2 linked regions of the Coturnix japonica genome follow. The protein of the gene in region 1 binds, or shares a complex with, the protein of each later gene. Links are inferred from orthologs where the notes say so. Each region holds a gene or a part of one and is shown on either strand. Other genes may lie near its edges.

Region 1 (5,907 bases):
CACACAGCGCCCCATTTGCCATGGGCACGTTTTCCTTCCTGCATACAAACCCTCAATACTCCCGTCCTTTTCCTACAGGTGGGGGTGGCGTTGGGATGGAACCCCAATATCAATGCTGTGCCTGGATACTCACTGCCCCACCCCGAGCACCGACCGGGGCCAACCCCGCTGTGCAGGGCCCGCCCGGAGATAGAGGTGTTAGCGGGCCTGAAGCTCCGTCACTCCATACAGACAAACCGCGGCTCAGCCCCGCACCACCGAACCCATAAACCCCCACCGGCTGCAAACGGGCGGCGCCCGGAACCCGAACCGCCCCGCGAGGCTCCGAGCCGCACGGCCCGGCCCTTCCCAGCGGCCGCGGGGTCCCTCCATTGCCCTCCATTGCCGCCCGCCGCCTCCTTCGGCCCCGGGAAGGGCGGAGCTCCGCGTTCCGCTCCTCCCTCCTCGCGTTCCGCCGCGCACTTACCGCCGTACCGGGCCCGCTCCGCCTCAGGCCGCCGCCCGCCAGGACAAAGGCGCCAACCGCCGCTGTCGCACGGCGCCGCCGCAAAGCGCGGACGTGAGAGCGGCCGGAAGGGAGGGCGCTCAGTCGCGCTTTACGGCACGGCGCGACGCGCTGACGTAACGCGAGCCGCCATGGCTGCCAGAGAGGGAGGCTGAGCTCCCGGCATGCCCCGCTGCCGCAATGCACCATGGGATTTGTAGTCCGGCGGGGCGCGGCCGCGGGGCGGCGCTGTCCGAGTAATGGCGGCATTGCTGCTGGGTTATGACAGCATTGCTGCTGGGTATGACAGCATTGCTGCTGGGTTATGGCAGCATTGCTGCTGGGTAATGGCAGCATGGTGGCAATGCAGAGCACATGGCTGCAGCACAGCATGGGGCTCCAGAGGGATGCAGGTCCTGCAGGATGCAGCTGGGGCTGGGGACGGAGCGAGGCCTTGCTGTGGAGCCAGACACCCGCAGCACCGGGAGCTGCACCGTTCCTGCGGTGGTGCCCATCGGGAGCATGGCAGCACCATAACGTTGTGCTGGAGGCTGTGCAGTGTGACTGCATGATGTGCTGGGATGGCACGGACTGTGTAAGTCCCCCCGCAGCACACACTGCACCCTGCACGTCTGTGTATGGGGAAGTGTCTGACGGGGACGGGATGGGAAGTTCCACGGGGATTGCTGCGGGATGCAGGGCAGGCAGCCCGGCTGTGTGCAGCCTCAGGGCCCTGCTGTGCTTCTGCCTCTTCCCGTACTGAGCTGATGTGATTCTGGGAACTCTAAGCAGATGCCGGAGCCCATGGGGAGCACGGAAGGGCCCTGTGGACTTCTTAAAAGTGAAGTGAAACCTCGCACTTCTGCATGAGGAAGGAGCTGTCGGGGCCAGATCAAACATCTCCTCTGCTTCCCAGGGCAGATTCCTGCCTGCGGCCGCTCCTCCTTCACCCAGGAAGCAGCCGGTTACACGCTGACATCCACCCGTAGCTCGGCCGGGCCGGTCGCACCGTGCGGGGGAGCTGCGGGCACAGCCCCGGCCCCGCACGGCTCTCGGTTACGCTCTGAAGCTCGGGAAAGTCCCGGGGCGGCGGGTGCTGCCGGTGGGGACTTTGTCTCGGGACGTTCAGCCCGGTGACTGCAGGATGGGCGGCCCCTGCGGCCCCTTCCTGGGCGGAAACGGGTCGAGGCGTTAATATCGGCTGCCCGGCTCCGCACGGCTCGGTTCGATTCGGGTCGGGTCGGATGGGCGCGGCTCGGGCCATGGGGCGGCTCGGTCTGGGGCTGCTGTGCGCGCTGCTCCTGAACGTAAGTGCGGCGTCCCGCGGGGTGGGAGCGGGGCCGGGCCGGGGCTGCAACGCTGCGCTCCGTGATCACGGCCCGAAACGGGACCGGGATGCGGCGATGCTTTGCGGGGTGGGGGGGGAGCGCCCGGCGCCGTCGGGCCGCTGAGCTCCGGTCCCGGGGCCGCCGTCCAGCGCTGTGCCGGGAAGGGCTCGGGGAGCCCCTGGCTGGGTGCCCGGAGCACGGTTCCCACTCCCGGGCGTTGAGCTTCGTCGTTCCTCGTTCTCGTGGCTGAGATTCCCCCAGCAGGGGCTCGGCGGTCCCTGCCCTTCCAGCTCCATGTGCCTCCCCTTGTCCCACAATCCCCATCACGGGCGGTTGGGGCGCAGCTGTGGATTTGAGGTGCGGAGAGGGCGACGTGGTCCCTGTCAGCAGCAATCCCAGCCTGTGTCGAGGCAAAGCATGGGACAGGCATGGGGCGTGTTGTCCCTGCTGGAGGGGCTGAGCTCTGTTATGGGGTCTTGTGGGTTCGATGCAAGGCCGGGCCCTGGGGGAAGCAGGGGCAGGGTGGGGTGTCTGAGCTCACTTTTGGTTCCCCTTCCTGCCTGAAGTCACAGACACATGGTGGGGGGGGGGGTCAGTTCCCCTCTACAGAGTCAGGCATCCCAAGCTAGTGCCCCTTCACACCAGGACTGCCCACAGGACCGTGCTGGGGCTGACCAAGAGCAGACGCAGCAGTCTGTGTGGGTTTGATGCTCCTGCCCAGGAGGCACAGCTGGCACCGCTCCCCCTGCCCAGCACTGCTGCACTGGTGGCGCTGGCAGTCACCCAAAGTGAAGAGCAATCACCACCCCGTAGGAAACCTGGGAAAGCACGGGGCTGCCCTACAGGAGCCACTGCCATCCCACTTCAAAGAGAGAGCTGGCAGTGCCAGGCAGCGCAGGCAGATCTGCTGCGGTCTGTGGTTAGCCCAGGCATGGGAAATGTGGTGCAAGGAAAACCTCACCTTGGGGCACGACTCGGAGGATGTGCAGCTGTGCAGGAGTGTGGCAGAGCAGCATCTCTTCATGGGTCTCATCTCTTCCAGTGTGGGCAGCCTGGTGATGCTGTGAATTGCTCTGACAAGCAGTACGAGCACAAGGGCAGATGCTGCAACCGATGCCAGCCAGGTACAGAAATGCCTTCTCCTCCCTGAGGTCCTGCACCGTGGCTGCTGGGGCTGCATTTGGCAGTTGAACATCATGCCACAGTGGCCTCAACAGCTACAGCCCCTGGTGCTCCCACGTCCTGCTGTCAGATCTGCTGCCTGTGGGGGAAAGCTCCCTTTTCCCCCCTCACCAGCCCGTCTTGCAGGAAAGAAGCTGGTCTCTGAATGCAACGACACGGAAAACTCTGTCTGCACACCCTGTGAGAATGGACACTACCAGCAGGGCTGGACTAAGGAGAGGCACTGCACGCCCCATGACATCTGTGAGGACAGTAAGTGCTCCATGTCCCCAGCGTGTGGGGCTGCAGGGGCTGCACTCCATCCAGGCTCACTCTCACTTTGTCCCCACTCCCTTTCACAGACGCTGGCCTCATCGTGAAGAGACATGGAAACACAACACACAACACCGTGTGCCAGTGCCGGGCTGGCATGCACTGCTCTGATGCCAGCTGCCAGACCTGCGTGGAGAATGAGCCCTGCAAGCAGGGCTTTGGCTTTGTGGCAGGTGAGACCCAGCCACCCCTATCCCTGCCATGGGCCCCATGTGCTGGCGGCATCAACCTCAGGTGCTCCCAGAGATGGAGGCTTCCTCTGCATGGGGCCCTACCAGAGCTTTGTGAGGGCTGCATTGCAACCTCCACTCCCTTCCAGCCATGGCCGAAGCCCAGATGACCTCACCGTGTGAGCCCTGTGCAGAAGGCACCTTCTCCAATGTATCTTCTAAAACCGAGCCGTGCCACCTCTGGACAAGGTCAGTGTCAGCCACTCCCCACGCTCCATCCCTGTTCCTCTCTGCACATTCCCTGCTGTCACCTCTCGTGGCACTGGGACGAGGCACTGGGATGGCCTGTGCAGGGCAGGAGTGAGGGCAGCAGGGTGCAGTGAGACCCAGGTCACTGAGCTGGTGGCAGTTGTTGTGGTGTTCCCTCAGTTCATGGACTGCCAGACCCCGGGGGGGTTTCCAGGCCCAGCTCACTCCTGTCTGTAAAAAGTGGCTGAAAAGTTCCTCATGTTCCCTGGTAGAAATGTGAGCGTTACCTCTGGACTGTATTAGTCTCGCCTCAGCTGCCAGCCATTGGATTTCACTTTGCTCCTATCTATGGCCAGAAATTACCTCCCCACTGAGCCACTTTGTGGCATGCTATCGAGCCATCTCTGAGCTGTTCTGCAGTAGCTGAAGTGCCCCAGCCCCAGTATCCCCCTCCTGTGCCTCAACCCAAGGCACATGCCCACCTCTTTCAGTTCCAATGGCTTCTGACAGGGCCCTGGCATCTCCATCCCCATCCCACCCCAGGAGCCCCATTGCTGTGCCCTGACCATGAGCTCCCAGGGCCCAGGGGCTGCTGACTGCATGCTCTTGGCTCCCAGCCCCATGGCTGTGGGATTCCCACTGTGATGACACAGTCTCATTCTTTGCCTGCAGCTGCGAGGAAAAGGGGCTCGTGGTGAAAGTGAAAGGGACAAACACTTCAGATGTGATCTGTGGTAAGTGCTCCATACCCTGCCTGGTGCAGAGCTGGGATGGGCTGGAGTTCTGTGCAGCCCACTGAGTCCCCATCCCCTGGCAGAGTCGAGCCGGCGCTCATCGCTGTCAGTGCTGATCCCCATCACAGCTGCTGTTGTCACCTGCCTGGTGGGCATCTGCATCTACTGCCTGGTGCACACAGGTGAGGAGCCAAGTGGGGAAGGCAGCAGCAGTTCTACCAGAAACGGGGAGGCCCTTCAGGGGGTGTCACTGTGGCACCCAGCCCTTCCAGCTCTGAGCTCAGAGCTTGTTGCAGGGCTGGGGGCCAGGCAGGGCAGGACCTGCTCCAACAGCAGCCTTCTCTCCTTTCCCTGCAGACCTCAGGCGCCGTGGGCCGAAACAGGTGAGTTGGTTCCAGCCGTGGGTTGGGGTCCCTACTGGCACGGTAGGGATGTGTGGGCTGCAGAACGGGGGCTATCTTAGGGCTGTTCAATGGGGACGGGGCCACCAGGAACCCACACAGGGAACCCACATGGGGTGAGGCTCCTGTGCTGCAGTGGGAGTGAGTGCAGGAGGATCCCATGGAGGGATGCGGCTGCGGGCAGGGGCTGTGACTGCTGCTCCTGGCCCTGACCTCCTGCCCGCACACAGACTGAGGCCGAGATGCCCAGAGAGCTGGAGATGCAGCAGCCCGAGGAGGTGGACTTCCCAGTGCAGGAGACTCTGCTGGGAGGGCAGCCCGTGACACAGGAGGACGGCAAGGAGAGCCGCATCGCAGAGCAGGAGCAGCTGTGACAGCGTGGGAGCTGCCCTCCATGGGAGCAGCGGGCAGGGACAGCGCTGACCCCCCTGCATTGGGGTGGGAGGTGAGCACAGGGCCCGGCCGCCAGCACAGCGACCGACGTAGCGCCCAGCGGGGCGCCGTGCATGGGCCGACCCGAAGCGCAGCTCTGCCCGGGGGAGCCCCGGTGGCCCCACACGCAGCCGCCACGGCGGGACCCGTCGGCTCGGTGTCAGGGCACGGCAGTGCCGGCCCGGCGCGGCCGGGATACGTGGGAGACAACAAACAAACCCATCCCGGTCCCCGACCCACGCGGTGCGCTGCCGTCCCGGGGCCAGGAGGGGGCGCTGCGGGGCCGTCGGCGGCTCGAAGCGGGCGGAGCGCTCCCGCACAGCCCCGCACCGGCGGCGGAGGGGTCACGGCCCGGTGCGGGCGCTCAGCCGGGATCCCAAGGCCGGTATCCCGTAGCGAGCAGCAGGCGGAGGGTCTGCGGGGGGCGGCCCGGCTCAGCACCGCTCCCCTCGGCCGCCCCCGGCCCCGCACCGTCGCCCCCGCAGCCCCACGTACCGCACGCAGCCCCCACCGCGGTGCTGCCGGCTGCTGACATTTGCGCGGTTATTGCTCCGCTCCGAGCTGTACCATCGCCGTTACAATGGGAACAATTACACTCAATTATTCTCCACCACA
Region 2 (5,806 bases), on another chromosome or scaffold:
ACAAAACTCAATTGGTGCTGTTTGTTACCAACAGAAGGTACCAGAAGACATCAGATCCCCCAGCACCTTCCCAGCATCATGTACGGCTGTGGGCTGCCCTGTTCTTTGCAGTATGGGGGTAGCAGAACTTCTGGTCTTAGGTCTTTAATTTTAATAATGCTGTGCAATTAAAATGCTCTGCAAGGTGACTCTTTTTTACCCAAACACGAGAAGCCTCTGCATTAGGTGGAGGTGATGTCCCTAAACCATAGGGAGGCATTTGCATTGCATCCTCCTCCTGCTCCTTGCTGGACTCACTCCAGCTGGTCCAAGTCATGCACTGCTATTAATGGCTGAGCTTAAAAGTGCTCCTAACATCCTCCTTCCCACCCGCACAGCAACTAAGAGAGCTGGAAGACAGCAGAATGCCATTGTTTTTCAGGCCAGGATGGCAGCTCCATCCCATCCCACCTTGGGCACTCTGCAGTTGGATTTGCTCTGGCCATGCTTTTGGGAAAAAAAATGGATGAGATTTTTCATTGATGTCATTAGTGTAAAAATATCATGTAAAAAAGCGTATAAAAAAGAGCCCTTCTTCTGTAGCCCCAAGATTTCAAGAAGGCTGTGGGTGATGCTTTGTGTGCCTGAGAGCCTCCCTCCACCTTCAGCAGGGGTTGTATCCACCCAGCAGCGATCTACCTTGCACTGGAGGTCCTGGAAGCCCTTTAGAACTTTATCACAGTCCAGTAACGTCGACTTCTGACCTTCTCCCGTCTGACATTTCTGCACTTTTCTCAGGAAGATGTAATCTTCATTTAAACTCAACACCTCTTCCATCTGCAGGTGGGGGAGAGAAGAGAGAGGGTCAATGTCTTGCTGCTGGGAAATGCAGATAGGAGGCATCCTCCCCAAATCACAGCCTGGAAGCCCAAGCCCCAGGCTGTCACCCGCTTACATCTTAATTTAGATCAAGACAACACATTTAAAAGCCACTTAATACCAGTCTTATCTTTGCATCTGCATTCTGGGTTTAAGGTACATTCCATTTCTATAGCTTTCTGCTTTGGGGGAAACAGTTTTAGATCAGTGATTTTAAGTGTTGCGTGGTGCTGCTGCAGTCACAGCAACTTCAAATAGAGCTTTTCAGCTCTTCAGTTTTTGCTAAGTGCTGTCCCACGTGCAGGACAGGATTACGGATACTATGCACCTTCCATCAAAAAGAGCCAAGTATTAAGACCCACCGTTTATTTTCCCAAAGCAGAATCATAGAACTGTTTGAATCAGAATGGTTCTTTAAAGGTCATCTAGTGCATATCCCCTGTAATAAACAGGGACATCTACAGCTCCATCAGGTGCTCAGAGCCGCATCCATCCTGACCTTGAAAAACTTCATTTCTGGACTACTTTATCCCCCCGATGAGTGTCCCAGTGCTGCTGTGGCACCAGCATGACCACCAGGAGCCTGAAGGCTAACACAGCACCCACGTTCACCCAGACTGGCCGCGTCTGCCAGGTTTGCTCTTAGCAGCTCCTCTTTACCGATCCATTCTCTCTTTGTTAAAGAAGGGAACAGCCCTCTTCGTCTGTGTACGTCTTCTCTTAGTGGCAAGTTAGAGCAGGAACAAGATCATGGGTGTATAAACCCCATTTCTGCACCAGTCCAGTGGTCAGCAGCATCGTGCCCCACGTTCCTCCTTTGGGTGACCAGCTCTCTTCATGCAGAAAGCAAACGATGTTAGCAGGCCAGCAGAGACAGCTTTATCTTATCCAACACTTACCTTATCCATCTTCATGTGAAGATATAAACAGAAGAGTACGGTCCCAATGGTCTGTACCACCATGAACACAGCGAGGAAGCACAGAAACATTTTCATGGTGCTGGGAGAGGTGCTGCCCATGGGTCGGGGTGCTGCAGAGCTGTAGGCTTCATTCATCCTCCGGGCAAGGTGCTGGTGCTCCTGCAAATGAGCTGCTTGCAAGTAGCATGAGAACTGTTGTGTGAGCAGCCGCCGCTCAAGGGATACAGGTTGCAGCAACCTACACTTCCTGGAAAAAAACCCTTCGTAGTGGGTAGGTTTGTTCACCACCATCTCCCACAACAAAAAAAAAAAAGAAGAGGTTGCTTAGACTTTCTTCTCTGGTGCACTTCCATACTTTTTCCTACTGTCCTACCAGAAGCAGGTAGCAATTCTTAGTCTCAATTTTCATATCTCTGAAACACTCCTGGCTTTCCCCAGTGTTGTGTTGCTTTTTTTCCTATTGTGGATGAATGTTTCGTGACCAGCCATCTTCAGAGCAATGTGGACCATGAGTCAGTGGGCAGTATCTCTGAATTGTGGTGGGGGCTGCCAGGCACTGGGAAGCTCTTTGGAACTCGTTAGTTTCTCAAAATGAGAAGAAAGGCTTTCTACTCTGTTTCCTCTGTGAGACAGACAACTTTGCAATACCTGGAGGAGGCAGATGGGTTGTGCTGGTTCTTGTCCTTCCCTTGTATCTCCCAGAGGTGAAGACTTCCTGGGTAGGATTAGGATGGATGCTCCTGGAGAAAGGGACATCTCTGTGGGCGCTGGGACCACAGTGTGGGCATGGCTTCATGCTCCTGGACAGCAGGACTTTGGGTCTTGGTGCTTGGCTGTCAGTTTGGAAAGACACAATTTGAGCAGCTTTTCCAGTGTCATGGTGAAGTAAGTGCTCACCCTTCAAACACAGGCACAAGCAACCTCAGACTGTGCCCCCATTAACACAAATCTGGGCATGGAAAGGGCTGCTGGGGACTCTGGGCACTGCTACCAACCACAGACCTCCACCACAGACTGGCTTTGCTCCATGCTAGAGCAAAGAGAATGAAGTTGGGCTGCCTGCACAGGGGGCTGGGGTGATCAAACCATCATGCAAAGTTGTTTTGAAAGTAACAGGCTGAAAGCAATGCTCTTATCAGATGTGCACGCAGCAAATAAAGGGCTGGATCCTGCCAGAAGCAGGGTGGTGCTAAGCAGGGCTGCTCACCCACAGTGACAGCAGAGGAGAGCTCCCAGCGCCATAGGGCTGCACAGCACAGCAGGATGGGTTCCAGAGCTCGCTTTTGCTATCTACCCACTCTCTCGCATCCTGTCCTGTGTGGTTTAGGGTGCTTTTAGCTACAACTGCAAGTGCTGGTAGCAAAGCACAAACATCTCTGCAACCCAGTCAGTATTTGACCTTGGCAGGTCACTGCCTTCCTAAATATAGCCAAATAACTCAAATATAACCCAAATCACAAATGTCTTACAGTGCCAGGATCTTTGCTGTCAGCAATTCAGTGGCTGATGGATATTCAGGGTCCTGTGCCCCCTTACCACGTTGACTCTGCCACCTTCTTGCACAGAGGGGAGCACTGAATTATAGAATCATAGAATCACAGAATCATTAAGGTTGGAAAAGACCCCTAAGGTCATCAAGTACAACCATCAACCCATCCCCACCACACTCACTTAACCATGTCACTCAGTGCCATTTCTCCATGTTTCTTGAACACCTTCAGTGATGCTGACTCCGTCACTTTCCCGGACAGCCTGTTTGGGATGGGGCTGCAGCCCCCATGCAGTTTGAGGGCACTGCCAACCAGTGCTTTCCTTCCCTCTCATATTAAAATCAGTATTACCTTTGGAAATACCAACCCTGGTCCCTGGCAGGGCTCTGAGCTGACACCGAGCTCCTAAAACTGTCCCTGCCATGGAGGGTCTTCCTCCTGCACCATCAAGAAGCTGCCCCCAGGAAAACCCCACAGCACTGGGGGCCACAGCAACCATCAATGCACGCTCTTCAAAGTCCTCACCCCATGCCTTGGCCAGAGGGCAACCACCGACATTTTCCAAAGCTCTTCAGACTTTCCTCCGAATTTAATACTCATGTTTGGAGGAAGTCTTCATATGAGAAACAAAACGACACGAGAAGTCGTTACTTAATACTTTCCCCGAATCCCCAGTGTCGGGACCCAGAGGCAGTCAATAATGTGTGAAACCACAGCAGTGAGTGATACAGAGAGCAGCAAATAAGGCTTTGCACAGCTATCCCTGAGCCCTGGCCGTCCCTGGCAGATGAAACCCTCTCAGAGATGTTTCTGGATGGCCACCTGTCACCGTTTCACCAAAATGAGAGAAAGCTGCAGGGAATGCTGGAAAGCCCAGCCCCATAGAACACACCTGCAGCTCTGTGAGGACGGGGAAAGGCTTCGCTCTGGGGTCCCCAACACAAAATGTCTACGGAAGCTCTCTGCTTTGCTCTGCAAACCAGGAAACACAGCCTCAATAGTCACCAGTGCCCTGACGAAGAAGACGGTGTGGAAAATATGACAGCGGGGATCCCAGCAGAGATTCGTCAGCGCACCTTATTAGGAGGGCAGGCTGGTCGCTCTTCTTTAGGATAACGTTTTGTTGTGTTGGCAACCCAGCCCCAACAATCTCCTCTGGCCCCATTACCAGTAGTAATGGTAGTTCTGCATCACACGGGTAGGGCGAGGGGCTCAAAAACCATGTCAGCTCCTGCCAGGGCCAGGTTGTCTCATGGCTGTACATTGTTGGCCACTTCCTGCTGTAGGAACTTTGGGGAGGGAGCAGGAGGGCATGGTCCGGAGGGATGATGGAAAACCCAGTGCCAACCTATGTGGGATCCCCCCAGAGAAGATGAAGTTCACCTGCACCTGGAGACAGTTGCACCACTGGGAAACCAACAGGGTTTTCTTTCACCCTCAACCCCCTGAACATAACCATACCCATCTGCCTCCAACCCGAGTGAGACAATGGGAAAATGTGATCCATCGCTTGCATTCCTATTGACCTACTTGCAGTATTTCCGCTGATCAGCAAATTGTCTCCACTGCAGTCGGTTTTGTTTACTGAGAAAATATCCGGTTGCAAGCCCTGGTGATCTGCCAAAGGCTGGGAGCAGCTCTGAACGCAGCAAGGTGAAAGCTGATGAAAAGAGAGTGAATTTTTTGGGTGCTTGCTGCGGTTTTATGTAAGTAGCTCTTTAAAAGATGCTGCTCACCTCACCAGCTCGTTCCACTCGACAAAAGCCAGGTGCTGTGCACCACCAAGAGCAAGACACTCAGAAAGAGGATTTTATTCTGAGTCACAAAAGGAGTTTGCCTGCAATGCTGTAGGAGGGATGCGGAAGGAAACCTATGAGAAAAACCTGATTTAGTCCTTCTGACCACAAGCAGAAATTTGAGCTTTAACATCATTTGTTTTATCATTTCTTTAGATTTCCTTTTCTTGTGTCTCCCAAGATCTCATGTCTTCAGGTCTGTACCCATCACAGGAGAGAGAGGAGACAGACAGAGCCAGAACATCACAGAAAATATCACCAGCATCCGGAGAAGGAAAGGTTACAGTACAGTTTCCGTTCATCTTTTTTAAACTTTATATGACTTAGAGAAAGCTCTGGAGCACAGAGCAGCCTCGGGGTAGTAGGAAAGGTCCAGTTGGGGATGGTCACATCTCCTGTGGAAGAGAAGTGCAGGAGGTGGCCATTGTTAGCATTGTGGCAATGGCAGACTTCAGCCTGGTTGCTCATGGTGTCCCACCTCCATGGAGAGACACTTGTGGGGGTCAGCAAACACTCCAGGCTCCAGCAGGCATAATGTGAGCTGCCCGTGTCACTGCAAGGCCAGGAGACAATGCCCAGACATGTGAGGAAACATCTCTCCCTTCTTTGCCACCTTGCTGAGCTCCCAAGAGCCAAGGGGAAAAGGTGCTGCTCTCCCTCTGAGATAACCAGCTCCAGGGGATGCCATCTCCTCAGCTGTTTCCAACCATCCATCCCTGCTGCACCCATGGGTGCACCCCAA

What was found. The genes of interacting proteins can lie anywhere in the genome.
Region 2: the proteins of CD40 (region 1) and CD40LG are in contact, whole or in part, in a crystal structure (PDB 3QD6), measured with the Homo sapiens proteins. The link is inferred for Coturnix japonica from reciprocal best matches to the Homo sapiens genes CD40 and CD40LG. Residues at the interface, in NP_001241.1 of Homo sapiens: Glu64, Ser65, Glu66, His76, Cys77, Gln79, Tyr82, Asp84, Asn86, Leu87, Trp109, Cys119; in NP_000065.1 of Homo sapiens: Ile127, Glu129, Ala130, Lys143, Gly144, Tyr145, Tyr146, Cys178, Pro217, Cys218, Gln220, Ser245, Gln246, Ser248, His249, Gly250, Thr251, Gly252.

The regions. Positions count from the first base shown.
Region 1 is NC_029535.1:9,594,123-9,600,029, forward strand, and holds the start of CD40 (tumor necrosis factor receptor superfamily member 5), read left to right. Parts: upstream 1-2,398; 5' UTR 2,399-2,743; coding exon 2,744-2,936; intron 2,937-3,120; coding exon 3,121-3,246; intron 3,247-3,335; coding exon 3,336-3,479; intron 3,480-3,625; coding exon 3,626-3,725; intron 3,726-4,397; coding exon 4,398-4,459; intron 4,460-4,542; coding exon 4,543-4,641; intron 4,642-4,816; coding exon 4,817-4,842; intron 4,843-5,090; coding exon 5,091-5,234; 3' UTR 5,235-5,907.
Region 2 is NC_029519.1:4,223,762-4,229,567, reverse strand, and holds the start of CD40LG (CD40 ligand), read right to left. Parts: upstream 3,356-5,806; 5' UTR 2,070-3,355; coding exon 1,758-2,069; intron 817-1,757; coding exon 679-816; intron 1-678. UniProt on the Homo sapiens protein: Cytokine that acts as a ligand to CD40/TNFRSF5. Costimulates T-cell proliferation and cytokine production.